Linked DNA regions of Oryctolagus cuniculus. The protein of the gene in region 6 purifies or fractionates together with the protein of the main gene of each other region. This does not show direct contact. Links are inferred from orthologs where the notes say so. Each region holds a gene or a part of one and is shown on either strand. Other genes may lie near its edges. The genes, in order: EFTUD2, TSSC4, PRPF6, SNRNP200, DDX23, AAR2 and ZNHIT2.

Region 1 (4,089 bases), on a different chromosome or scaffold from region 6:
AAGAATTCAAATGCTACCTCCTTCAAGCTTTCTTAGATCTCAATTTCTTTTTTTTTTCTTTTTTTGACAGGCAGAGTGGACAGTGAGAGAGAGAGACAGAGAGAAAGGTCTTCCTTTGCCGTTGGTTCACCCTCCAATGGCCGCCGCGGCCGGTGCGCTGAGGCCGGCGCACCGCGCTGATTCGATGGCAGGAGCCAGGAGCCAGGTGCTTTTCCTGGTCTCCCATGGGGTGCAGGGCCCAAGCACCTGGGCCATCCTCCACTGCACTCCCTGGCCACAGCAGAGAGCTGGCCTGGAAGAGGGGCAACCGGGAAAGAATCCGGTGCCCCGACCGGGACTAGAACCTGGTGTGCCGGTGCCGCTAGGCGGAGGATTAGCCTAGTGAGCCGCAGCGCTGACCCAGATCTCAATTTCTTATTCCCCCATGCTGCTGCAGTCTTTTGGATTTACATCACTGTTCAGCTTTTTCCTGGATGGCGGTTCACTGCACTAATTACCCTCAACAACTCCATAGTTCAGGAGCACAACACCAAGCCTCTGGAGCTGGAAGACCTAGATTCAAATCCCAAACTCATCACTAGCAACTATGTAACTTAAAAAAAAAAAAAAAGATTTATTTATTTATTTGAAAGAGTTACAGGGACAGAAAGAAAGACAGAGGGCTCTTCCAAGTGCAGATCCACTCCCCAGATGGCCACAATGGCCAGGGCTGGGCCAAGCTGAAGCCAGGAGCCAGGAGCTTCATCCAGTCTCCCATGTGGGTAGCAGCGTCCCAAAACATCCTCTCTCTGCTGCTTTCCCCAGGGCATTAGCAGGGAGCTGGATCGGAAGTGGAGCAGCCTCCGCGAGATGAAGTGGCGTCACAGACAGCTTTGCCTGCAAAGCCACAAAGCCAGCCCATGTACGTCTTACTTCACCTCTGCACATCCATTTCCTGAACTGGAAAATGGAGTGATGAAACCTCATGCATAAAATGATTGGGGATTAGATAAAAACCCTGCAACTCCATCCAGGTCCCCCACTGAGTGGCAGGGGCCCCTGTGCCAAAACCTGCTACCTCCCAGGATGCCTTAGCGGGACACAAGCAGAGAAACCGGGACTCGAACCGCTGCACCAACATGGGATGTGGCCTTCCCAGTGTCTCAACCCACTGTGCTATAATGCCTGTCATCTATCTCTGGTCATTCTTGACTAGAAGAACCTGTGCTCATTGTGCTCCCCTCCCAAAGCCCTAGAGCACCCTGTGTAAGCAGGAACTGGATAAATGCAAATGGAATGGAATATTTGATACTGATGTTTCTTGCATTGAGCTAATACCTCAACCTCCCTCAATGCCACTTGCTGAGTGCTGATTGCAAATAAAACACATAATTGGAGAACCCAAGAAGAGGTAGTTACGGGGCTGGCGCTGTGGCACAGTGGTAAAGCCGGCACTGCCCATATGGGCACCAGGTTGAGTCCCAGCTGCTCCACTTCTGATCCAGCTCTCTGCTATGGCCTGGGAAAGCAGCGGAAGATGGACCAAGACCTTGAGCTTCTGAACCCAAGTGGGAGACCCGAAGAAACTCCTGGCTCCTGGCTTCAGATTGGTGCAGCTCCAGCCATTGTGGCCACTTGGGGAGTGAACCAGTGGATGGAAGATCTCCCTCTCTCTCGCTCTTGCTCTCTGCCTCTGCTTCTCTCTGTGTGTAACTCTTTCAAATAAATAAATAAATCTTAAAAAAAAAAAAGTGGTAGTTACGTGTACATTATTAGAGAAAATCTCATATGCATAAAGGCTCTTTTTACTTCCAAAGAGCTATCAAACTGGGCTCATTCATTCTCCCGAGACCTCCAGCCAACAAATGCAGAGAGTTCCATAGAGAGCGGTTCGTGGAACAAGTCAAGCCCAGCCCCAAGGCCACTGCACCTGCCATTCTGTCTGAAATGCTCTTGCCTGAGGTATTCGTAACTTTGCCCTCTAGCTTATCAAAGTCTCTTTTCACTAAAAAGCCCCTCATTCACGCTCTCCGACCCTCACTTTCACCGTTTTCCTATCAAGACATGAATCTACTCGTTTGCATCCTGTTCGTTCTTCCCGCTACAACTTAAGCAAGGTCTCTCGTTCACTTAGGACAGCGCCTGGCACAAAACAGGCCCTCAGCAAGCATGTGCTGAACGCACGATCGGACGACTCCAGCAACGCACAGACAGCTGAGTTGCACCAGCTGGTTACGAACCTCACCGCAGCCCCTCGCTATTTTAACTTCTGAAAAAGAATCCCAAATGAAGACAAAGAGCCTGGCAGAGAAGAGGTGATGGCGGCACTGATGAGAGAGCGAGGAGACGCGGCAGTGAAAGCTCAACCCTGCCCAGGAACGGGACTTCAGGGATGGGGCTGGGGGCTCCTTCCGGCTCCAGGCCTCAGCTCACTCATCCGCAACGGGCAGACAGCACCTCATGCCTCTTCCAGATACGATGCTCTGTAACTTCCCGCCCTGCCCAGATAACCTTCCCACGCCACGGACCCCCGTTAGCTCACCTCCTCCCTGCTCAGCGTAGAACCCCAAGTCCGCCGACGGAGACCGCGCGGCCGCCTCGCGTCACTGCAGCGCCTGCGCCCGCAGCCAAGAAGGACCCCGCAGACGCCGAGGCCGCGTTTCTGCCACGGAGGACAGCCCTGTGCCTGAGAACCGGCACTGAGGAATGCCGACCGCAGACACAGGAGCCGACCGGGTGGAGTTGTGAATCCCATACCCAAGCGTGGGCTGCTCGAAAGAGAGTGAAGCCTGAGCATACATGACTACTGGGTCAGGCACCGCCAGGACACCTAAAGGGGCTTTCGGGCAGGTCACGTGGGCAGGCCGTTGGCGCAGTTGCTAGGCAACCGCGGATGCTGGGCGTAGTGGGCTCCGAGCCGCCGTTTGGTTCCAGTACACCAGGGAGTCCCCAAGGAAAGCGAGGGGACCGAGGCGGGAACTGCGGTGGTGAAGGTCCGGGTGGCTGGGTCGGGAGGACAGACGGGTTAGTTCTACTTATTGGCTGACTGCAGGGCTCAGGGGCCGGGACTCCTGAGTTCAGCTCCTGGCCAGCCCAGTCGGTTCTGGCGTTCAACTTCGCTAGGTTTGTCCGTGTGGGTAGCTAGTTGCGGACCGCCTGCTTCCCTGCCAGGACTGCTCGGTGTCCCCAGAGAAGTCTCACAAGTACGCGGGCACTTGAAAAGCTTGTGGGAAATGGAGTTAAAAGATAAGCTTATTTCGATGCAGATATTCCAAGTCCATGCATACGATAGAGGGTGCCTCCAAAAAGTGCATGAAAATGTGTATTATGAAAAAACTATGAGGCAGGGGTTGTGGCGCAGCGAGTCAGGCCGCCGCTGCAACGCCAGCATCTCAGGTGAGGGCAGGTCCAGTGGGCACTTCGGCTCAAGCTCGCTGCTAGTGCACCTGGGAAAAGCTGAAGTGCTTGGGCTCTGCACCCACGTGGGAGGCCTGGATGCAGTTCCAGGCTCCTGATTTCGGCCTGGCCCAGCCCTGGCTGTTGCTGCGATTTGGGAAGTCAAGGACTAGATGGAGGATCTCTCTCTCTGTCTCTCCCTCTCCTTCTCTCCCTCTCCCTCTCCTTCTCTCCCTCTCCCTCTCCCTCTCCCTCTCCCTCTCTCCCTCTCTCCCTCTCTCCCTCTCTCCCTCTCTCCCTCTCCTTCTCTCCCTCTCCTTCTCTCCCTTTCCCTCTCTCTCTGCATTTCAAATAAATAAAACATTATTTTAAGTTGCATGGATTTCAAAATGTTTTTGCACCAAAATAAATTCATTTTTAAACAATACTTATTATCTTTAAATATTTAGTTATTTTCAATTTATTTAAATTCAAAGAGACAGAGAAAAGAGGGAGTTCTTCCATCTGCTGGTTCACTCTCCAGCAGGTTAAAGCTGCTGCTTGGGACACCCACGTCCCACATCAGAGTGCCGGGTGGAGTTCGGACAGCTGGGAGGCAGCAGATGAGGTCCAGCTACTTGGATTCCTGGCTCCCAGCTGCAGCCTGGCCTAGACCTGGTGCTGTGGGCATTTGGGAAGTGAACCAACAGGCAGAAGATCTCTCCCTCCCTCCCT
Region 2 (3,970 bases), on a different chromosome or scaffold from region 6:
GGGCCCTCCGGGGTGCCGCCAGGGCAGGTGGGAGCTGAGGTTGCCCTCCCCGCAGGAGGACTGCCACCAGAAGATTGACGAGCTGTTCTCGGGGAAGCTGTACCTCATCGGCATCGCGGCCATCGTGGTGGCCGTGATCATGGTGAGCGGGCAGGCGGGCGGGGGGGGGGGGGCCGCCCCGCCCCGCCGGCCCCCGCTGACCGCCCCCCTCCCGCCAGATCTTCGAGATGATTCTGAGCATGGTGCTGTGCTGCGGCATCAGGAACAGCTCCGTGTACTGAGGCCGCGCTGCCCCCGCCGCCCCCGCCGCCTGTACAGAGCCACCCCGCTCGCTCCGCACGCAGCTGCCGGCTCTCCGGGCTCTGCGTCTCCCCCGGAGCCCCTGTGGCTGACGCCGCGTGCCAGGGGCACCTGCCGAGGGGGGCCGGGCCTTCTTAATCCTGTTGCTTTCCTGCCTGTTCCGGGAGCACCTGTCCTTTCTAACGTCACCTTCAACTGTAACGCCCGCAGCTGGACACAGTCTGTAATAAAGGAGGAGACATCGGGCATGCTAACGCGCTGGCCGCCGGTCCTGGCCGGTGGGGTCTCAGTGGGTGGGGCGCTGGGGACAGAGGGGTCTGGACTGTGCCGAGCCCGCGCGGAGCGGACGGGACCAGGACCCAGGGAGCGTTCCGCGGGTGACCGCCCCTGGGGCACACCGGGCTGCGGGAGGGGGCGGCCGGGCTCCGGGCTCCCTGCGGGCAGCAGGCCCCAGGTCTGCTGAGACGTGGGTGGCCCCCCGGGCCTCAGCAGCATCTCGGAGCAGCCAGAGCAAAGGCCCCGCCTCGGCCTGGACAGCAGCCAGGGAGGACTGAGGCTGGCCCTGCGGAGGGCGGGGGCTCCTGCTGCTCCCAGCCCCTGGGGGACAGGGTTGCCTGGGAGAACTAGGTGCAGCGAGGAGTCCCCTCCACTCCCCCCGGGCCGTGCTGGCCCAGGCTGGCCTCTGGACGTGCAGGGCCTGGGGCCCCGGGGCTGCCAGGACAGGGTGGGTGTCCCAGAGGTGCCTGGGCCGTGCATGACCCGCCTGCTGTCCGCGGCTGGCCCCCCCGGGGTCCTTAGACGCCGGTCTCCCCGTGAGTGCCAGGACAGCAGGCCCCCGCAGGAGAGGGACTCAGGAGCTGGGGTCTGGCGGGCACCGAGCAGCCCCAGCAGAAACGGGGGCAAAAGGCGCTGCCCACTTGGGGCCTGGTGGCCAGCGAGAGGCCTGTCTGGGAGAGCCCGGGGCCGGACCTGCCCAGGATGGCCACGCCCAGCCCCGGCTGCCTGGGCCGCTGGGCAGCGCTCCGCGCGCCTGTCCCTGAGGGCCGGGGAACCGGAGAAACATCGTCAGAGGCTCCCGACGTCCAGCGCAGCCCACAAGCTCAGTGGCTGCCAGGCCCGCCCCGGGCATTGACGGATGGACCCGGGAAGGGGCAGCGACTTCCGCTTTCGGAAGGCCGGAAGTGCGGGCAAGGGCTTCTGCTCCACCGTGCGCGATGACGCACTTCCTGTCTACGTCGGCTGCTGTCTCCGCACCTCCCGGTAGGTGGCACTAAAACTCCGAGAGGCCTGCGCCTCGCCGTTAGTCGAGCATTCTGGGAGTGGCGGTTGGCTCCGCCCCTTCCTCCGTGTCAACGCTAGGCCTTTTCCGTTTCCGGAACCCGCTCCTGGCGCAGGGCTTGGAGGTGTAAGGAGAAGGGCGTGGGCGCATGCGCACTGGGGCACACGTCCCGTCAGGGCTCGGGAGCTGAGGCCCGGTGGCTTATGGGAGATGTAGTTCTTCGGTCGCGGAGGCCACAGTGCGCGGCTAGCGGGGGACTCGGTTTCCCAAAAGGCTGAGCGCGGCCGGCGGGGAACCCGAATGAAGGCGGCCGGCACGAGGAGCCGGTAAGTCCGGGAGGGCCCTCTGCGCGGCCGCCCTGACACGGCGAAGGTGTGCTCTGCTCCGCGGCAGAGGCGGCCGGAGGCAGCTAGAGCCGCTGCCCCTCGGCCCGGTCGCGGGATCCCGGCCTCCCCAGCCCAGGGCGCGCTCGCCGCGGTCCCTGCTGGGCCCAGCGCTCCTCCTGCGGCTGCTCCGCGGGAGGAGGTGCTGCGCCGCGCCTGGGTCGGCCCGAGGCGGGGAGCGCCGTGTGGAGGGTGCGCCCGGGCTGTCCTGCAGCCAGCCCCTCGGGAGCGCGGGTGGGGGTCGTGTCCGGGGCCGCGGGGGCGGCCTCTGCCCAGCAAGGCCGCTCGAGCTGACCCTTGAGCGCGCTCGCGAGCCCGACCCCGCCGGGGTGGCCGCGGCCCGGGCCCTGGGGCCCAGCCCTGGGCTCCGCCTCGTCCCAGGCAGCTTGCGGCCGGCCCCGCGCTCTGACGCGGGCTCTGTCCCCCGCCCCTCACCCAGCCCCGTCTGAGCAGCGGAGCCGAGGCCACCGAGGAGCCCACGCCGGGGCCACCGAGGACCTCCGTGGGCGGACGGGGGAGGTGAGAGCCGGGCCGGGGAGGGGCCCGCTGCTGCGGCCGCGTGGGCCGGCGACCCTGAGCTGCCCCCTCCCCGCGGGCTGCTTCCCCGCAGGTGCCGTGGGACGGGGCCATGGCCCAGGCGGGGGCCGAGGGGGACGCCGCGCCCCCCGACGACGCCGACTTCCCCAGCGACTCGGGCTCGGACTCGGACTCGGACCTCAGCTCTGGCGGTGCCGAGGCGGCCGCGCCGTGTGTAGACCTGCCCGCGGACTCAGAGGACTCCGAGCCCCCCTCGCCGCCCCCGGCGCCCCCCGCCCCTGCGGCCCAGCCGTTCTGCCTCCGGGGCACGAGCTCCGCCTTCTCCCGGCGCAGCCACAGCGTCTTTGACGGCCTGGAGGGGGCGGCCGGCGCCCCCAGGGGCCCGCGTGTCCCCGACTACGTGGCGCACCCGGAGCGCTGGACCAGGTACAGCCTCGAGGACGTGGCCGAGGCCAGCGAGCAGAGCAACCGGGCGGCGGCGCTGGCCTTCCTGGGCGCGCGGGGCCCGGCCGCCCCCGCCGCCTGCGCGCCCGCCTTCAACCAGGACTCCTCCAGCTGCGGGGAGGGCAGGGTGGTCTTCACCAGACCGGCCCGAGCCCGCGAGCCCAGGCCCGAGAGGAAGAGGGGCCTGGGGCAGGGCGCGCAGCCGGGCAGGGGCCTCCCGGGGACCGAGGCGGTGGAGCTGCCCCACCTGGCCGGGCCCGGGAGCCCAGAGGCCGAGGAGAGGGGCGGCACCCCCGGCGGCCTGCAGGAGGAAGACGCGTCCCCCGCGGCTGCCCACAGAGGGGCCTCGCCAGGGCCCCCCGGCCTGGACGCCGTCGGCTTCCACGGCGCCAGGAAGCGGAGCCGGGAGCACTTCCGGAACAGGGGCAGCGGCTGCGAGGGCCCAGCGGCTGAGGGGTGAGCGGGCCGGGCCGCGGCCGGGGGCCCGGGGCTCCATGGGTGACAATAAAGGTGTTGGGTGTCCTCGGGTCCTGTCTGTCGTCTCACTCCCCCTGGGCCCCCAGCCCCGCTCGGACCCTGCAGAGTGACGGCCCCAGTGTTCCGCTTCTCTGGGTTTTTGTTTGCTTTTAATTTTGAAAGATAGAGAGGTCTTGCGTGCACTGGTCCACTCCCCAGAGAGCCGCAGTGGCACAGGGGCCGTCTGCTGCTCTCCCAGCTGCAGCGGCAGGGAGTTGGGTCAGAGTGGAGCAGCCGGGACTGGAACCACACATACAGGAGGCGGCTTTACCTGCTGCGCACAGTGCCGGCCTGGAGGGGCTGAGGGGTCCCCCTGGGCTGGGGTCAGGCCACAGGAGTCCAGCATGGTGCCGGACAGGCCTGAGTGGTCCTGTAGCCGTGCCCACGCTCGCCTCTGGCTGTGCCCCACCCAGACTGTCAGGACGGGGTGCAGAGCCGGCATCTGGGGTCTTGTGCCAGGACTCCAGCCCAGCATGGGCCATGGGGGACAAAGGGTGGGTTCCCCAGGTCT
Region 3 (3,500 bases), about 22 Mb from region 6:
CGCTGGGTGTGGGGGTTGGGCCTTTTACTGCTTTAATAAAATAAAAAGTTAAGCAATGAATTTTAATTTTGAAATAAATAAGCTTGCATGAAGTTGGAAAAATAATACCAAAAACAGTTCAAGAAAAAAGATTCCTATGTTCCTGTATACTCTTCACGAAGCTTTCCCCATCTTTTTTTTTTTTTTCCTTAGATTTTATTTACGTATTTGAGAGGCAGAGTTACAAAAAAAGGGAGAAACACAGAGAGAGCTCTTCTATCCTGGTTCATGCCCCAAATGGCCACAGCGGCTGGAGCTGGGCCAATCTGAAGCCAGGAGCTTCTTCCAGGTCTCCCACGCAGGGGCAGGGGCCCAAGGACTTGGGCCATCTTCTGCTTTGCAAGGCCTTAGCAGGGAGCTGGATCGGAAGTGGGGCAGCCAGGACACAAACCGGCGTCCACATGGGGTGCTGGTGCCACAGGCGGAGGCTTAGCCGAGTACACCCCAGCGCTCATCTTTCTGACCTTGCGACACTTACCAAAACCTGGAAATTAACGGTGACACGTTGTTATTGTCCATGTGATTGATTGGATTGAGAGCAGGCTGGTGGTTCCGTTTGTTCACTCTGTCCACTGTGGGAGCCGGGACTCAGTCCAGGTGACGGCGCAGAGACGTGAGCGTCAGCGCTGCTTCCAGGGCCGCGGCGCTGAGGGTCACTGCCAGGTGTGCCGGCTCTGCAGGTGGCTGCCCCTGCTGGGCGTCACTCGTGACTGCTGATCTGGCTGGGGTTTCACCAGTGCTCCCATCAAGGAGGGCCTGGTCTGGGACCCTCGCTCTTTACCCTTCCAGGCTCTTCCAACCCGGGTGGCTGCTCTGTCTCAGGCCCCTGGCACCCTCCGGTTGGGTGTGTGCAGGAGCTCTGTGAGAGGGGTCCTGTGGGGGTGTGGCCCCTCTGAGTGTGCTGTTTGGTCCTCAGTTCAACGGCTATGCCGGCAGCCTCTTCTCCAGCGGGCCCTACGAGAAGGACGATGAGGAGGCGGACGCCATCTACGCAGCGCTGGACAAGAGGATGGACGAGAGGAGGAAGGAGAGAAGGTACCGGGCCGACGCTCACGCCGACACACACACACACACACTTCCTCTACTGGCTCAGGCTTGTAGAAAAGCTGCAGGAACCGTGGCAGCTGCTCCTCCCGGAGCTCTGTGGTGCGTGGCCACTACACGTGGATGTGTTGGGCCACGGGGGAGAGCGCACTGCTGGCTGTGCAGGGGTCAGCAGGACTTGGAGGCTTGCTTTGTGCGTCAGCATTGCCCCCTTTCAAGTGGATGCAGTGATGGGGACTAACTTGTGTGAAGTTGAACTTGGAAGTGGCTGGTGGTAGAGTGGGTTAGGGAGCTCAGGCCAGGCCGGCCCGCGAGCACGTGTCCTCGGCGTCCTGCTGCACACCAGGGGCCCTCTGCCAGGTGCTCGAGCTGTCCCTGCTCCGCCAGCCGGGGCTGCTGGCCGGCACGTCCCGGGAGGAAGCACAGTAAACTCTGCTGCTTTGCAAGCTGCTGACTTTTTTATTATAAAGAAAACACATTTACGTCATAGCATGATAGGAAACCAAGGTTGAGAATAGGAAAGAGTGTGACGTTTCTTCACAAGCTCAGAGAAGTAACAGTGGAGGGAGGGAGGGCGGGGAGGGAGGGGGAGGGAGGGACGATCAGTGTGTTCCTAGACTTGTATCTGCCAGGGGCCTGGGCACCCTCCACTTCTGATCCAGCTCCCTGCTGATGTCCCTGGGAAAGCAGTGGAAAATGGCCCAAGTCCTTAGGCCCCTGCACCCGTGTGGGAGACCCGGAAGAAGCTCCTGCCTCAGCCTGGCTCAGCGCCGGTTGTTGTGGCCCTTTGGGGAATGAACCACTGGATGGAAAATCTTGCTCTATCTCACTTTCTGTAACTCTTTCAAATAAATAAGTCTTTAAAAAAAACATTTCTTAAGAAAAAGAATTATATTTGCAAATCACATTGAATCTGTTAAAAACTAAAAATTAAAGAAGAAAAAGTAACAGTTAATCTCTTGGTTCATTTTCTTTTTTGTATTGCTGTTGATACGTACAATTTTTAAAAAAAGATTTATTTTATTTGAAAGGCAGAGAGACTAGAAAGAGGTCTTCCATCTGCTGGTTCACTCCCCAGATGGCTGCAACAGCCGGAGCTGGGCTGATGCAAAGCTGGGAGCCAGGCGCTCCACGCAGGTCTTCTATGTGGGTACAGGGGCCCAAGTACGTGAGCCGTCACCCACTGCCCTCCGTCTCTAGCAGGGGACTTGAACTGGTGCTGTGACATGGGGTGGGGGGCTTATAACTGGTAATTTTGTAACTTCCCCTAACATACATATATATGTATATATATGTATATGTATATAAAACTTCTAATTTTTTTCAAAATAACTTTAGGAGAATGAAGTTGAATTTTGTGGAGTTTTTGAAAACTTGTTTTTAAATCAGGGCGTGTGAATAGTAATTAGGTGTAAATGGTTTTGCATTCATTGATTTGATTCCAGTACTTTGACATTAATTCGTTTTAAACACAGTGACATGGACACATCTAGAAAGTCATAGTAAAAAGTGGTGGCTTTTTTTTTTTTTTTTTTTTTTTTTTTTTGACAGAGTGGACAGTGAGAGAGACAGAGAGAAAGGTCTTCCTTTGCCGTTGGTTCACCCTCCAATGGCCGCCGCGGCCAGCGCGCTGCGGCTGGCGCACCACGCTGATCTGATGGCAGGAGCCAGGTACTTCTCCTGGTCTCCCATGGGGTGCAGGGCCCAAGCGCTTGGGCCATCCTCCACTGCACTCCCTGGCCACAGCAGAGAGCTGGCCTGGAAGAGGGGCAACCGGGACAGAATCTGGCACCCTGACCGGGACTAGAGCCCGGTGTGCCGGTGCCGCTAGGCGGAGGATTAGCCTAGTGAGCCGTGGTGCCGGCCCAAAGTGGTGGCTTTTAAAACCCTTTTATCCTGGAGGCTTCCATGACAGAACAGCGGGAAGAAGGAACAGCAGTACACGCCGCAGTCCCCGTGCTACCTCACAGTTTGCACGTTGCTTCGCTGTGGTTGGGGCTGTGTTTCTGGCTGGGTCGAGGGCCCTGTAGAGGGCACCGGATGTGCTGCAGGGTGCGAGGACACAGTGCTTGTGGGGCCTGGCCTAGCGCCTGGTATCACTGCCCCATCACTGGCCCGAGCTCCCTGACCACACCACCACCCCCTGCAGGTCCACAGGCTCATTTGCCGTCTTCCATGGGCACAGTGGCTTTGCGACACTTCACAGCACTAAGCCCAGCCCCGTCACCCGACAGCCAGCGCTCAGGGCAGAGCACATCCAGGTCGCACCTCACGTCCACTGTGCACACGCATCATGGCGAATTCCCCCTTCTGCCTTTCACTTTCTTGTGACAGTGACGCTGATTAAAAAAAAAAAAAAAAGGTTTATGTATTTGAAAGGCAGAGTTACAGGGGAGGGACTGGGTGAGAGAGATCTT
Region 4 (3,500 bases), on a different chromosome or scaffold from region 6:
CCTGGGTAAGCTGGGGTGTCTGAGGCCACGGAGGATGGGGACAGTGGGTCCTACCTGGATGTGCAGCTCCAACGGCACAGGGCGCACGTTAGGGTGGAAGTTGAAGGTGGAGGTGGCACTGCAGCCCAGCCAGTGGGCCACATCCTTAGCATTGGAGAGCGAGGAGCTAAGTGCCACAATGCGAATAGGCCGCTCGATCTGGGAGGAGATGTAGCGCATACGGGAGCAGATAACTTCTAAGACAGGCTGGAAAAGAGGGAGGAGTGTCACTCCAGACCCAGGTTCCCCAAACTCTGCCCCTAGTGCCCCTCAGTACATCACCCAACAGCCTCAAAGTGACCTCCTAAGTCTTCCTCCTAACTAGGGGCTCTCCCGCCTCCCGCCTTCTCCACAGGAGCTGACATTCACTACGCCATGTTGGTTTCCGAGAGCTCTACAAAGAAATCTCACATCAGCCGTTTGGAATGAGGCAGCAGGCAGAATCCTGAGTCTCCAGCCTCGGATACAAACACAGGGCCCAGTGCATCCCGTCAGTCCCAGCCCCGCCCGTAGCGCGAGGCCCGGGCCTACCCCATTCTCTCCCCCGATCAGGTGGACCTCGTCCACCACGAAGAGGTGGATGTTCTGGACGTTCTTGCGCTGCTTCCACCGCCGGGAGAGGATGTCCCATTTCTCAGGGGTGCTGATGATGATGTTGCCTTTGCCCAGCAGCTTCAGGTCCGTGCTGGTCTCCCCTGTCAGCAGCACCACTTTCTTGTTGAGCCTGTCCTGAAACTTCTCATACCAGTCCATGTACACCTGGAGAGCAGGATGCAGGAGGCCAGAAGAACATTAGGTCACACCAGGCGTCTTCCAACGTATTACAAAGTACGCCTGAAGCTAAGCAGAGAGACTTGCTCTGCAGCGCTCATGCAGCTCTCCTACCCCAGACCAGCCTTGAAGTGCGGGGCAGGCTCTCTTTAGAATGTAAACTCTGGAAATCACCCTAATTATATGAGGGCTAGAAACCATGGTGTGGAACAGGACAACATGGCTTCTGGGGAAGTGCACCCGCCAGGGCACCCCACCACACACCTGTTCTGCCAGGGCCTCCATGGGGGTAATGTAGACGCAGCGCCCCTCCGAGTTCTGCAGCAGCATCCGCAGGATGGCAAACTCCGCACAGATGGTCTTCCCACTGCCCGTGGGGGCCCCCACAAACACGTTGTCGTCACTGTTGTACACAGTGTTAAACACTGGAGATCGACAGAGAAGTAGTGTGAGTAGCGGGAGAGGAGACAGACTGGGACGAGGTCAGTCAGCTGTGGGGTGCAAAGGGCTGATGGCGCAGGCGCCTCCAAGGCGGGCTCAGCCTGCTGTGTCCTCTGAAACCTTCAAGGCCCCCGGAGATTTGTGGGACAACCAAAGCAAAAAGAAGCCAAGCATCTTTCTTTGCTTCTCAGGGACTAGGATGCAGAATAAAGGGAATGGGCTAGCTTCTTCTGTGCCTTCAATACTTTCCTGCATTTCCTGCAAATAGTCTAACATGGAAGGGAAGACTATGCCCTGGCATCAAGACTAAATTAAGGGGCTGGCACTGTGGCATAGCAGGTAAAGCCATTGCCTGCAGTGCTGACATCCCATGTGGGCGCTGGTTTGAGTCCCCGCTGCTCCACTTCCCATTCAGCTCTCTCCTATGCCCTGGGAAAGCAGTGGAAGATGGCCCAAGTCCCTGGGCCCCTGTACCCACGTGGGAGACCTGGAGGAAGTTCCTGGATCCTGGCTTTGGAGCGACCCAGCTCCAACCATTGCAGGCATTTGGGGAGTGAACCACTGGATGGAAGACCTCTCTCTCTCTCTGCTTCTGCCTCTCTGTAACTCTGTCTTTCAAATAAACAAAAAAATCTTTAAAAAAAGAAAGAAAAAATATGGGACTGGGCACTGTGGCATAGTAGGTGAAGTTGCCGCCTGAAGTGCTAGCATCCCATGTGGGTGCCAGTTCAAGTCCTGGTTGTTCCACCTCTGATCCAACTCTCTGCTATGGCCTGGGACAGCAGTGGAAGATGGCCCAAGTCCTTGGCCCCTGCACCCACATAGGAGATCCAGAAGCTCCTGGCTCCTGACTTCGGATTGGCCCAGCTTCAGCCATTGTGGCTTTCTGGGGAGTGAACCGGCAGATGGAACACCTCTTTCTCTCTCTCTGCCTCTCTATGACTCTGCCTTTCAAAGTTGCATTATGTATTAGCTGGTTTATTCGGGGTACCTGTTCATGCATATTTCCTCATTTATAAAATGGGACCCCAATGGCAGAAGCTCAGATGGTAAACCCCTCAAAGGACAAGTAGAAGGACTAACAGAGAAAACAATGGTGCTGTACTCAGCCAAGTACTCAGAGCACAGTGCATGCTGTGTGAACGCACTGTTACTCATAATGATAGAGGAAGCCTCCATCAACGCCCCATGCCCTAGTGCAGTGCTTGAACATCAGGGGCAGGATCTAACACCCTGAGCCTAAGAAATGACAGTACACATGGAAAGGCCTTGCTCCTCTCACCTCAGTCTCCATGCAGAGTGGCAATGCAAATCCAACAGGGGCCAAGGAGTTTTCAGGAAACAGAGGGTCCTAGTGGTCCCTGACAGGCTGCTGGGTTGCCAAGTCTACCAAGAACTTGAACACCTGGTTCCCTACCTGCTGCAGAACACACTGCTTCCAGGTACTCTTCAAATGCCTCTGAGGGGAGTGGGGGCTTAGCCTACAGGATAATATGCCCACATCCCACACCGGAGTGCCTGGGATCAACTCCAAGCTGCTGACTCCAGTACCTGGATTCCTGTACCCTACAGGGGAGGCCTGTATTGTGCTCTCAGCTCCTGCCTTCAACCCTGGCCTAGCCCCACCTGTTGGAAGCATCTGGGTGTGAACCAGTAGATGCTAACTGTTTCTCTATCACTCAAGTAATTTTTTTAATTAAAAAAAAAAAAGAAAAAAGGCCTCCAAGGGGACCCACTATCTGGGAATGAGAACACTCACCTTGGGTCTGGATGGGATTGAAGAAGGGAAATTTATCCTGGTAAAGGCTCTCAAAGGCACTGTTTCTGAGAGCAGACACGGGCAAGGGCTGCAGGTCCAACAGCTCGGTGGGAGGAGGGTACTTCTCTGGCAGGATCAGGTGCCTGAAGGACACAGGCAGCTGCGTCTCACAAGCTGCCAGAAAGAAACAGCAAGGAGAGTAAGCATTCTGTCTTCCCCCAACAGCCCTCCAGCACCCCTGTGAACGCAGAAACCCTTGACAGCACAAACATCACTCTCAAAAAAGGGCAAGCCTGGCACAAAGTCCAAGACCTCCTCTTGTCCTCAGAGGGCCTGTTCCTAGGGGACACTCACAGAGCCAGCGGTCAGACACCACCCGGATGAAGTACTGAGGGGGCAGCGGTTCAAAGACAGGCACGAAGAACGTAATGAGATGCTCGTCCTGGGCATACTTGGCCTTGAGTAGAAAATACTCATGATGCAGGATCAC
Region 5 (3,194 bases), about 30 Mb from region 6:
CTGGGGGAGGCACTGTAGTCCCCAGCACCCCCTCCACACCTCATGGCCGGGTATCTGGAGGGACTCCAAGATGCCGGTTCTGCGAGGTGGGGAAGAGGCTTAGTCACAGCTTTCCACTGTCCCTGCCTCAGGCCAAAAAAAAAGCCCTGGACATAGCTGGAACTTGAATTCCATGGACTTGCCAAGCTCTTTCTGAGGACTAAGGAAGAGCATACTAATGGTTGGGGGGCAGGGAGGTAGGAAGGGGACCACAGCCCTCTCAAGACCTCCCTCAACTGGGCCCTGCTCAGCACCGTGATGCCTCTGGCACCTGTCTCTTCAGTGAGCAGTAGCCCCAGCCCCTGGAGAGCCAATAAGCAAAAGCTCTGAGATGTGTGTGAGGCTGCGGCAAGACCGGCTTGCCCCGGCTTCTACACCTGTAGACGTATGACTGCTGGCAAAGACCCGGTTCTCCTGTCCTGTGTGGTGGCAGGGAGAATCGGCTAAAACTAGACACAACCTTAATATTCCCATATTTATTCTCAGAACATACAAACTCATCTTCTCAGAGAATAGAAAACAGAAACTTCACTCAGTGACTTAAAGATGAACACAGCCAGCTCACCCTGTCCCCACATCTACTAAAAATTCCCTGGGGGAGGAATGCCTGGAGTGCACAGCACCCCTGGGCCTGGGGACATGCAGTCCCAAAGGCTCTCAACTTGCTCTAGAATCCAAGTGGGGAAGCAGCTGTCAAGATGAGAGTCCGAGCTCCACAGTCCTCACCGTGCCAGAACCCCCCAACCCCCTCCCCGGGTCATCTAGGGCCATGACGCTGCTGCAGCTTCCAGTCACAGTCCCACCTGTGCCAAAGGAGGGCCCAGCCAGGCAGCCAGGCTCTCACCCAGGACAAGGGGCAGGGATGGGTAGTGCCCACTGCTGCCCCCATGACCTGGCGTGAGCGGACAGCCCAGAACAATCACAAAGGCCCCCGGAGGGGCAGAGCAGGGCCACACCGGTGGTGACTTCCTCCCCTCTTGCAACACCATGCTCAGGCCTCCAGAGTGGAGGTCTGGGCCAGGCGGTCTGACTGTCACCCAAGCTGCCAGGACCCAGGGTTAAGAGTCTGGAGAGAGGGATAGGAGGCACCCGGCAGCTTCGGCTCATGCCCTTAGGCCTACGGGAAGAGTGCTGTGTCAGGCAAAGATGGTCTCTTCCCGGCGCTTCTTGGTGAGGATGGTGCCTGGCTTGTGCTGGGCATCTGGGTGGTTGGCCAGCTCGGGTGGACAGGAAGACACTGGGCTTTCCAGGATGGCCTGCTTCAGCTCATAGAACACAGCGGAGTCCTCTTTGGTGAGGAAGGTGATGGCCACGCCACTCTTGCCTGCTCGCCCAGTGCGGCCGATGCGGTGGATGTAATCTGGGGAACAGGAGGGGCGCCCCTCAGTCTCCACTTCTAAGGCCGCCCCCTCCCCAGCACTGAGTGTGCCCTGCACTGCCTGACCAAAAGCACCTGTGGCGCTTTCCCACGGGTACCCATCTCCCTGTTCCCACGGCTGGCTGTGGTCAACCACTGCACCACATCCGGCCACACCAACAGCCGCCCAGCTTCCTCCCTCCCCACACCTCTACCACAGAGGCTGGACAAGTCCAGGTAAGGTAAAGTGCCAGAGCTCTGCCCACTGAACAAGTGACTCCAGACTTGGAGCCGTGAGAGATGGCAGCAGTGGTCTCCCCAGGGTGGCACCGTGACTTTGCGTGGGAAGTGGCAAGGAGTCCTAATTCCCCCCACTTACCTAATTTCCCCCACTTACCTTCAATATTTTTGGCCATATCGTAGTTGACAACCATAGATACATCTTGGATGTCGATACCACGACCAGCCACATCGGTAGCCACCAAAATATCCTTGGCACCGGCCTTGAGGTTGGACAGAGCGAACTCTCGCTGTTCCTGGCCTTTTCCACCATGCAATGTACACGCATTGTACTGTTGGGAGACAACAGTGGGGTGAAGAGCCAGCAACGGGAGCATGAGAAGACATCCAAGAAAGGACGGAGACAGATGGGGAGGGCGGGGCGGGGGGTGGCAGGGCAGGAGAGAGGGAAAGAATAAGGGCTCCTGAGAGGGAGGAGGAAACAGATGAGCTCAGGAAAGTGGGGGCAGACACCAGTGGGGGGCGGCGGGGACAGACAGGGTAAGGACAAGGACAAAGCCATCTGGGGTGAGACAGGGAGTCAGACAGCTGAGAAGGACTGGGGAGAGAATCAGACGGAGATCAGGGTAGAAGTTCAGGGAGATAAGAGCAGGGTGGCGAGGATGCACCCTTCCTTCAAGCCCCAGCGCCAGCAATAGCGGACATGGTTAGCAACGCTGCCCCGCTGACACCATCACATCCCTTCCCAAACATCTGCAGACACTGCTTTGGCTTGCTCTGTTCCACGTGCCCAGACTCTGTCAGAATGCGGGGCCCATCTCTCATGGATGAAGACCCCAGGCAGCGTTGGCTGCTGCTGCTGGAACGGACAGGGTCCTCCATGTCCCTCTGGCCCTGAGTGGGACTGAAAGCCCAGGCCCTGAGGACCCCTCTAGTGTCATTGGTGGTCTTTGCAGGCCGCCCTCTGCTCTCCCCTGCCAGACATACCCCCATCTTCTCCAGGGATTTGGCCAGCACATCGCAACCCTTCTTCTGGTTGACAAAAATGATGATGGGCGGGTCAAAGCCTTGCTCCAGGATTGCCAACAGCTTCTTCCTGGGGAAAGGGGCACGAGAGGAAAGATGAGATGTGATGCAGCAGCCACGCCAGCGAAGTGCCCGCCCCTGACCCAAGAACAGGAGCTGAGGATCAGCAAGGCCCTTGGCGTCCTGGAGAGCAGCTCCTCGACACGGCCCTGCAGGAAGTTCCCTCTCAACCTGGTTGCCCCCAGGTCAGCTGTCTCCGTACCTCTTCTCTGACTCAGACATGAGGAAGACCTTCTGTTCCACCCGCTCGTGGGGCTTGCCGGCAGAGCCAATGTACACCACAGCAGGTCGCCGAAGATAGCTCCTGGCCAGACGCTCCACGGCTGGGGGCATGGTGGCCGTGAACATGACTGTCTGTGGAAACAGGAGGCTCAGCTCTGGGCCCCAGCCGGCATACCCGACCATGTCTGCAGGCAGCCTAACCCAGGCGAGGCAAGCTAAAACGAGGGAAGCCAGCAGGTGGTACAGCAGT
Region 6 (3,963 bases):
CATACATGATCCAACTCCTCCCCAGATGCAGAATTTAGTATTATGATGACAAAAGTGCAGCTTGACCATGAAGCTCTGATTAAAACTGGTTTCTTTTTTAAAAGTTGTATTTATTTTCACTTTATCTTTTTTTAAAGATTTATTTATTTGAAAGAGTTATAGAAAGGCAGAGGCAGAGAGAGAGAGAGAGAGAGAGAGGTCTTCCATCCACTGGTTCACTCCCAAGATGGCCACAATGGCTAGAGCTGGGCCGACTAAAGCCAGAAGCCAGGAGCTTCTTCCTGGTCTCCCACATGGGTGCAGGGGCCCAAGGACTTGGGCCATCTTCTACTGCTTTCCCGGGCCACAGCAGAGAGCTGGACTGGAAGAGGGGCAGCCGGGACTAGAACCGGTGTCTGTCTGGGATGCCGGTGCCGCAGGTGGAGGACTAACCCACTGTGCCATGGCGCCGGCCCCTCCCAAGTGGTGTCTTAACCACGGCGCCAAAAGCCTGTTCCTGAATTTATTTTTCATTGAGAGATACCAAGAGAAAGACACACACATGCACACAGAGACAGACAGAGCTCGCACCCGCTGGTTCACTTCCCAAATGCCCGCGGCAGCCAGAGCTGGGTCAGGCCAAAGCCAGGAGCCAGGAACTCCATCCAGGTCTCCCTGTGAGGTGGCAGGGACCCAAGCACTTGAGCCCTCACCTGCTGCCTCCAAGGAGGAGCATCAGCAGGAAGCTGTCAGACGTCAAGGGCTGGAATTCGACACAGGCACTCTGGTTTGGTACATGGTTGTCCCAGACAGCTTCTTAACCACCATGCCACAACACCCACCACCCACCCCCCAGACGGGCTTCTCGCAGCTTGAACTGCGCCTTGTCTGTGGTGGTCTGGTCCCCTCCGAGTGCTGTGTCCCAAGACAAGCTCTCCTGGAACATCCTCTAAAAACAAGCTCCAGAAAGTTCAGGTTCTCTGATGGCTGTTCCCGCGCCCCGCCTCCCTTTTTCAGCTAAATCCTACAGTCCTGGTTACCAAAGCAAAGGACTAGGCAAAGGACTAACTAGGTTCGTGGATTTGTCCTGGGAAGGGGATAGAAAATGTACAGCTTCAGGAAAATTGTTTTCCAAGATGCAAGAGCTAAAAAAGGAGAAAGTACGAGCCACAGAAGACAACTTTCGACCGCACGGAACCTGTAGGCCCGGGCCGTTCTTCCCGCGACCGAGGACTCCAGGGGGCCGCTTTCTCGGTCGCGCCCAACCGGCGCCCCAGCGGGAGAACTTCCGGTGCGTTTCCGCGGTACCCGAGGTTGCGGGCGGTGAGTGCGGCCTTCTGTCCTCTTTTTTTCCTCCTGTGATTTTGTGCCTGTGGCCAGCGCGCCTGTCTTCTCGGCTCGGAACCGCGGCACGTCCTGCGCTGGTTCCCCCTCGCCGGTGTGGGCCTCGCGAGGCCCTCCTGAGACGCCGCCGCCGGGGCGCCAGGCGCCCGCTGCGTGGCTTCCCCGAACCCAGCCGCTGATTCGGGCTGCACAGTGAATCGGCTGTAGTAGGCTGAGCGTCTAGCGAACGCCGGGGTGCAGACAGCCGCGAGCGTCGTGCGGGCGAGGAAGCTCCCCTGGGGAGGCGAACCTGAGCCGAGGGAGGCTTCTGCCTCGCGTTGAGGGTCCGAGAGGCCCGGGTGGCCGGAGCAGAGCGCGCGCAGGGGCCCCGACGGCGCGGGCCTTGTGGGTCAGGGCCAGGATTGGGGGCTCCCCGGAGCCGGCCGGGAAGCCCCGCGGAGGGTGTTAAGTGTGGCGGCGGCGGTGGCCGTGACGGTCTGCTCAGAGACCCGGCTCTGAGACGGGTTGTTGGGGTGCAAAGTTCCTTCGCCCGGCACCAGCTCTGGGCCAGGCCGTGTGCCAGCCGCTGCTGGGGCTCCAGGAGGCCGCGCGGGGGCAGGGAAGCCGGCTGAGGCGCACTGGTCCTGCGCATTCGGGCTAGGGGTAGGGAAGGCGAACGTACGAATTATTCGGAACAGCGGCTGTCAAGCTTCTTGACTGTGACCCTGCTGTAACAAATAGATTCCGTGTCACCACCAAATAAGTGTCCACCCAGCACCTAAAGCTTTAGAAAACAGTGCTTGTCCTCACTACTCAGGACGTAGCAGTCGGACATCCTATCAGTTCTGTTCTTTTCACTTAAGAAAAGGAGTGCCGGTTGAGACCTTCTCAGTTAATTTCTTAACCCATTTTGAACTTTGAAAAAAAAAAAAGGCGGATTTGCAGAGTCCTTTCTAGTAGTGATAAAATAGCTCTTAGTGTTCTTGGAAAGGGGCTGGGCTTCCTTTCTGCGCTCTTTGAGTGTTTAAAATTGAAAGTGTGGACAGAGGGAAACCGGAGGCCGAGTTTTCTGGGGACTTGTGATGTCTTACTGGGTTGTCTGGCGACACTGGAAGCAGCGGGAGGGCATTAACTGCTACTTGCTGGGTGTTTCTTCTGGGGCCCAGTGCAGGCGCTCAGGGAGTAGGCGTTGGGTTGAGTAGGTGGGTCTCCTAGGGCTGGGAGACTAGGTAATTGATGGGTTTGAATCAGTTCCACTGCAGCCATTGGTCGAGGCAGAGGCCGCTTGTGCCTGCGGGGGTTTAGCAGCGTCTGCCCGTCCCCACGGCAGGACAGAGGCAGGTGAAGGAGGTGTAGGTGTTCTAGCGCTTTCTCTTCCCTGTACCGTCCTAGGTCAGCCCTGCCTCCCGATCCGTCCTGGAGGAATGCGGGCCCTTCAGGAGGTTGTCTCACTCCTTGGAGTTCGGGTTTTTAATGAGTGAAAGAAGGGATCTGGGGTTGAAAAGCTTCCACTCCGTCAGCCTTTTGTGAATTTTAGGTGCTGACGGGAACTCCGTGTGTCCTTGACTTAATCCTTCTCAAACCCTCTGGGACTCCGGCGACAGGTTTGAGGCAGGATTATAGTTTAAGATGATTCAGGAGTATTTGAGGATGAACCATCCAGGCTTTTTCTACCCTCATCCTCTGTTGTAAGAGAGATGGGGAGTAGATCCAAGTGGACAGCAGAAAGGACGCTGGCCTGCAGGGGGTACATGGTTGCTGACTGGGGTCCTTAAGTGCCCTGGAACATTCCACTTTTCGTTAGCTGGTGTCTCGCTAGCTGTCAAGTGAGTGCTCTTGTTTGTTAAATCAAAATGCAAAAATACCCTTCTGTCTCCTTGTTATGTTCCTTATCTGTGAGACAGATGCAGGGTGTCGTGAGGATTCGGGAGATAATCGGGTCAGGCGTCTAATCCGGTGCCTGGCGCGTGCGGAATGCCCAGCATCCTCCTTGCAACTCCTGATTCGCTCTAATGTCCTTCTCTTTCAGCTGTTCCGGAGCACAAGAGGGAAGGGGTTCCTTTCGGTCACCCGCCGCTGGCCCAATGGCTGCCATGCAGATGGATCCCGAGTTAGCCAAGTGCCTCTTCTTTGAAGGGGCCACTGTGGTCATCCTGAACATGCCCAAGGGGACAGAGTTTGGCATTGACTACAACTCCTGGGAGGTGGGGCCCAAGTTCCGGGGCGTGAAGATGATCCCACCGGGCATCCACTTCCTACACTACAGCGCTGTGGACAAGGCCAATCCCAGGGAGGTGGGCCCTCGTATGGGCTTCTTCCTCAGCCTGCAGCAGCGGGGGCTGACTGTGCTGCGCTGGAACACAGTCCGGGAAGAGGTGGACCTGTGCCCAGCCCCAGAGGCCGAAGTGGAAGCCATGAGGGCCAATCTCCAAGAGCTGGACCAGTTCCTGGGACCTTACCCCTATGCCACACTGAAGAAGTGGATCTCACTCACCTCCTTCATCAGTGAGGCCACCGTGGAGAGGCTGCAGCCTGAGAGCCGGCAGATCTGTGCCTTCTCAGACGTGCTGCCTGTGCTCGCCATGAAGCACACCAAGGACCGGGTGGGCCAGAATCTGCCCCAGTGTGGCACAGAGTGTAAAAGCTACCAGGAGGGCCTGG
Region 7 (2,997 bases), on a different chromosome or scaffold from region 6:
CGGAGGCTGCTGGTGTCTGGGTGGTGGGGGATGGTCCGCCACCCCAACTACCTCGGGGACCTCCTCATGGCCCTGGCCTGGTCCCTGCCCTGCGGTGAGTGCCCCGGCGGAGGGGCGGCCCCCGCTGGCCCTGGGCCTCCCCCGCCCGGCCGGACAGCGTGGAGACCCTTGCGGCCCCTCCCCGCAGGGCTGTCGCACCTGCTGCCCTACTTCTACATCATCTACTTCACGGCGCTGCTGGTGCACCGGGAGGCCCGCGACGAGCGGCAGTGCCTGCAGAAGTACGGCCGCGCGTGGCTGGAGTACTGCCGGCGCGTGCCGCACCGCATCGTGCCCTACGTCTACTGAGCGCCCGCGCCCCGGCGGAGACCCCTCCTCCCCTGCATAAACGGCTCCAAGTCGCCGCCCGCTTCCGTTCCATTCTGGGGCAGGGCAAGGCTGGGACACGCCGTGGGCCCGAGAGCCCGGGGCTGGGCGGGACAACTGAGCTGTCACTCCGGGCAGGGCCAATCTCCGCTTTATTGAGGCCAAGCCCCCCAGGTCAGCCAGGGAGCTCTTCAATGAGAGCCCCTGGGGCAGGTGGGGCGGGGGGCACAGGGCCGCCCCACAGCCGCTCCAGCTCCCCGGCCAGGGCGGCCACCTCCTCCGCGGCCGCCGCGTGCGCGCCGTGCGCCCTGGCGCAGTCCACAGCCAGGGGCCCGAGGGCCGCCTCGTTCTCGTTGGCCCAGGCCAGCAGGTACTGGCACTTTTTCCGGGCGCGGTAGAGGCGATCTCGGTCTTCGCCAGCCGCGGTCTGTTTCCGGGCACGGCCGAGGGTCCGAGCCAGGTGCCCCAGCGCGGCCAGCGTGTAGCCTTTGGGGTCGGCGGGGCCCCGGCCCAGCAGGATGCGGCCGGCCTCTCGCATGGCGCCCCGCGTCCCCAGGGGCCCGGGCGGGTGCTCGCCGGCTTCCAGGACGTGGGCTGCGGCCTGCAGGGCCTCCTCGCTAGAGGCGAAGACTCGCTGGGCGCCCAGCGCTCCGGAAACGCCGAGCAGCGTGGCGCAGAAGTCGGGGAGCAGCGCGTCGTCGCCGCCGCCGTGGTACAGGGCCAGGGCGTGCGCGTAGGCGAACAGCACGTTGGGCAGCTGGAAGCGCACGAGCGGCGAGGCCGGGCTGCGGCTCAGGCTGGCCAGCGCGGGGATGCGGGCGGGCACGGCGGGCGGGCGGGCGGGCTCCGGCTCCAGATCCGGCTCGGGCTCCGCGGCGTCCCCCACCGCCTCCACGAGCCGGGGTCCGTCCCCGCGCCCCCACCACCACGGCCGCCAGGGAGGCAGCAGCCGCCCGGCCTCGCCGCGGCTCAGCAGCCGCTCGAAGGCCGCTTTCTCGGCAGGTGCCAGCCGCTCCCAGAGTCCCGAAAGTCCGCCGGGTGCGGGGCCCGGGCTGAGGCCTGCTACCTCGGGCTCGTCCTCGGTCTCGCGTTGCTCACGCAGCCGGCGCAGGGCGCTGGCCAGGCGGCTGGGCGAGGCGCTGCGGCCGCGAAGCTCCCCCAGCACCTGGTCGCGGTAGAAGTCCTCGGCGCAGGGCCCGTGCGCCCGATAGCAGCGCAGCGAGCAGTAGGGCGCATTGCAGCGCGGGCAGGTGTAGCGCGCGGCCCGCGTCTCCCCAACCGGGCAGAAGCCGCACGGCCCGGCCGGCTCCATGGCAACTGGCAGCGCATGCGCGCCGCGGACGTCACGCGCGCCGCGGGCCAACTTCCGGCGCCTCCTCGGTTACTTCCGCTTCGTCGCGGAGCCTTCCGAGCGTTAGTCCATGCCAGGCTGACAAGGGCTCTCGGCAACTTCCGCCCACACTCGGAAGCCCCGCCCCCTTTGCAGCGCTAGGGCGCCACGAGTGTCCCGTCTGTGCCAGCCCGCCCCCTGGTGGTCGCACCGCAAAACTGAGCAGTGCCGGCTGAAATCATTTTTTATTTTTTTTTATTTTTTTTATTTTTTTATTTTATTTTTTTTTTTATTTTTTGACAGGCAGAGTGGACAGTGAGAGAGAGAGAGAGAGAGAGAGAAAGGTCTTCCTTTTGCCGTTGGATCACCCTCCAATGGCCGCCGCTGCAGCTGGCGCACCGCGCTGATCCGATGGCAGGAGCCAGGATCCAGGTGCTTTTCCTGGTCTCCCATGGGGTGCAGGGCCCAAGCACCTGGGCTATCCTCCACTGCACTCCCTGGCCATAGCAGAGAGCTGGCCTGGAAGAGGGGCAACCGGGACAGAATCCGGCGCCCCAACCGGGGCTAGAACCCGGTGTGCCGGCGCCGCAAGGTGGAGGATTAGCCTATTGAGCCACGGCGCCGGCTTGAAATCATTTTTTTAAAAGATTTATTTATTTGAAAGAGTTACAAAGAGAGAGGAGAGGCAGAGAGAGAGGTCTTCCAGCCGCTGGTTCACTCCCTAATGGGCCACATCAGCCGGAGCTGCGCCGATCCAAAGCCAGGAGTCAGGAGCTTCTTCCAGGTCTCCCACGGGTACAGGGGCCCAAGCATTTGGGCCATCTTCGGCTGCTTTCTCAGGCCATAGCAGAGAGCTGGATCGGAAGTGGAGCAGCCGGGACTCGAACCAGCGCCCACGGGGGATGCCAGGACTGCAGGCGGCAGCTTTACCCACTATGCCATGGCGCCGGCCCCTGAATTCATCACTAAGCAGGGAACTGGGCAGCCTTGGGAGAGGAGATGGGTTCCTGCCCTGCAGGAGCAGCCAGGCTGCCAGGGGACACTGGGAAGCACGGGGCTGAGCGGAAGAAAGGGCGAGACGGCAGCAGCCCGCCTAGCCCAGTGCACGCTGGGGCATTTCTAACGTCTGCACCCACGCTCCCCCCCTCCCGCCCCTTGCCTCTACTTCGCAGTAAATGTCTTCCACGTATTATCATGGCGGACTCCACACTGGGAGCCAAGGACACAGGCAGGTGGAGCTTGGGCGTGGTGGCGTTGCTGGGCCATCATCAGTGCTGGGGCGGTGACTGCACAGTGCCAAG

Evidence for each region.
Region 1: the proteins of AAR2 (region 6) and EFTUD2 purify together in Homo sapiens (affinity purification with mass spectrometry; 5 studies listed by BioGRID and IntAct, counting the BioPlex papers as one, with this or other methods). This does not show direct contact. The link is inferred for Oryctolagus cuniculus from reciprocal best matches to the Homo sapiens genes AAR2 and EFTUD2.
Region 2: the proteins of AAR2 (region 6) and TSSC4 purify together in Homo sapiens (affinity purification with mass spectrometry; 3 studies listed by BioGRID and IntAct, counting the BioPlex papers as one, with this or other methods). This does not show direct contact. The link is inferred for Oryctolagus cuniculus from reciprocal best matches to the Homo sapiens genes AAR2 and TSSC4.
Region 3: the proteins of AAR2 (region 6) and PRPF6 purify together in Homo sapiens (affinity purification with mass spectrometry; 3 studies listed by BioGRID and IntAct, with this or other methods). This does not show direct contact. The link is inferred for Oryctolagus cuniculus from reciprocal best matches to the Homo sapiens genes AAR2 and PRPF6.
Region 4: the proteins of AAR2 (region 6) and SNRNP200 purify together in Homo sapiens (affinity purification with mass spectrometry; 5 studies listed by BioGRID and IntAct, counting the BioPlex papers as one, with this or other methods). This does not show direct contact. The link is inferred for Oryctolagus cuniculus from reciprocal best matches to the Homo sapiens genes AAR2 and SNRNP200.
Region 5: the proteins of AAR2 (region 6) and DDX23 purify together in Homo sapiens (affinity purification with mass spectrometry; 3 studies listed by BioGRID and IntAct, counting the BioPlex papers as one, with this or other methods). This does not show direct contact. The link is inferred for Oryctolagus cuniculus from reciprocal best matches to the Homo sapiens genes AAR2 and DDX23.
Region 7: the proteins of AAR2 (region 6) and ZNHIT2 purify together in Homo sapiens (affinity purification with mass spectrometry; 3 studies listed by BioGRID and IntAct, counting the BioPlex papers as one, with this or other methods). This does not show direct contact. The link is inferred for Oryctolagus cuniculus from reciprocal best matches to the Homo sapiens genes AAR2 and ZNHIT2.

Annotation. Positions count from the first base shown.
Region 1 is NC_091448.1:18,150,324-18,154,412, forward strand, and holds the start of EFTUD2 (116 kDa U5 small nuclear ribonucleoprotein component), read right to left. Parts: upstream 2,801-4,089; 5' UTR 2,522-2,800; intron 1-2,521. UniProt on the Homo sapiens protein: Required for pre-mRNA splicing as component of the spliceosome, including pre-catalytic, catalytic and post-catalytic spliceosomal complexes. Component of the U5 snRNP and the U4/U6-U5 tri-snRNP complex, a building block of the spliceosome.
Region 2 is NC_091432.1:1,159,017-1,162,986, reverse strand, and holds TSSC4 (U5 small nuclear ribonucleoprotein TSSC4), read left to right. Parts: upstream 1-1,428; 5' UTR 1,429-1,514; coding exon 1,515-1,560; exon of another isoform or gene 1,561-2,401; coding exon 2,402-2,481; exon of another isoform or gene 2,482-2,572; coding exon 2,573-3,403; 3' UTR 3,404-3,470; downstream 3,471-3,970. Other genes in the region: CD81 antigen, read left to right, coding at 56-142, 219-281. UniProt on the Homo sapiens protein: Protein associated with the U5 snRNP, during its maturation and its post-splicing recycling and which is required for spliceosomal tri-snRNP complex assembly in the nucleus.
Region 3 is NC_091442.1:197,902-201,401, reverse strand, and holds part of PRPF6 (pre-mRNA-processing factor 6), read left to right. Parts: intron 1-955; coding exon 956-1,074; intron 1,075-3,500. UniProt on the Homo sapiens protein: Involved in pre-mRNA splicing as component of the U4/U6-U5 tri-snRNP complex, one of the building blocks of the spliceosome.
Region 4 is NC_091433.1:111,297,021-111,300,520, reverse strand, and holds part of SNRNP200 (U5 small nuclear ribonucleoprotein 200 kDa helicase), read right to left. Parts: coding exon 3,365-3,500; intron 3,185-3,364; coding exon 3,011-3,184; intron 1,236-3,010; coding exon 1,075-1,235; intron 799-1,074; coding exon 571-798; intron 247-570; coding exon 55-246; intron 1-54. UniProt on the Homo sapiens protein: Catalyzes the ATP-dependent unwinding of U4/U6 RNA duplices, an essential step in the assembly of a catalytically active spliceosome. Plays a role in pre-mRNA splicing as a core component of precatalytic, catalytic and postcatalytic spliceosomal complexes.
Region 5 is NC_091442.1:52,315,082-52,318,275, forward strand, and holds the end of DDX23 (probable ATP-dependent RNA helicase DDX23), read right to left. Parts: intron 3,077-3,194; coding exon 2,925-3,076; intron 2,733-2,924; coding exon 2,624-2,732; intron 1,969-2,623; coding exon 1,794-1,968; intron 1,400-1,793; coding exon 1,176-1,399; 3' UTR 501-1,175; downstream 1-500. UniProt on the Homo sapiens protein: Involved in pre-mRNA splicing and its phosphorylated form (by SRPK2) is required for spliceosomal B complex formation.
Region 6 is NC_091442.1:22,049,644-22,053,606, reverse strand, and holds the start of AAR2 (protein AAR2 homolog), read left to right. Parts: upstream 1-1,163; 5' UTR 1,164-1,302; intron 1,303-2,227; exon of another isoform or gene 2,228-3,128; intron 3,129-3,331; 5' UTR 3,332-3,386; coding exon 3,387-3,963. UniProt on the Homo sapiens protein: Component of the U5 snRNP complex that is required for spliceosome assembly and for pre-mRNA splicing.
Region 7 is NC_091432.1:6,442,772-6,445,768, reverse strand, and holds ZNHIT2 (zinc finger HIT domain-containing protein 2), read right to left. Parts: upstream 1,713-2,997; 5' UTR 1,679-1,712; coding exon 542-1,678; 3' UTR 501-541; downstream 1-500. Other genes in the region: delta(14)-sterol reductase TM7SF2, read left to right, coding at 1-94, 188-348. UniProt on the Homo sapiens protein: May act as a bridging factor mediating the interaction between the R2TP/Prefoldin-like (R2TP/PFDL) complex and U5 small nuclear ribonucleoprotein (U5 snRNP).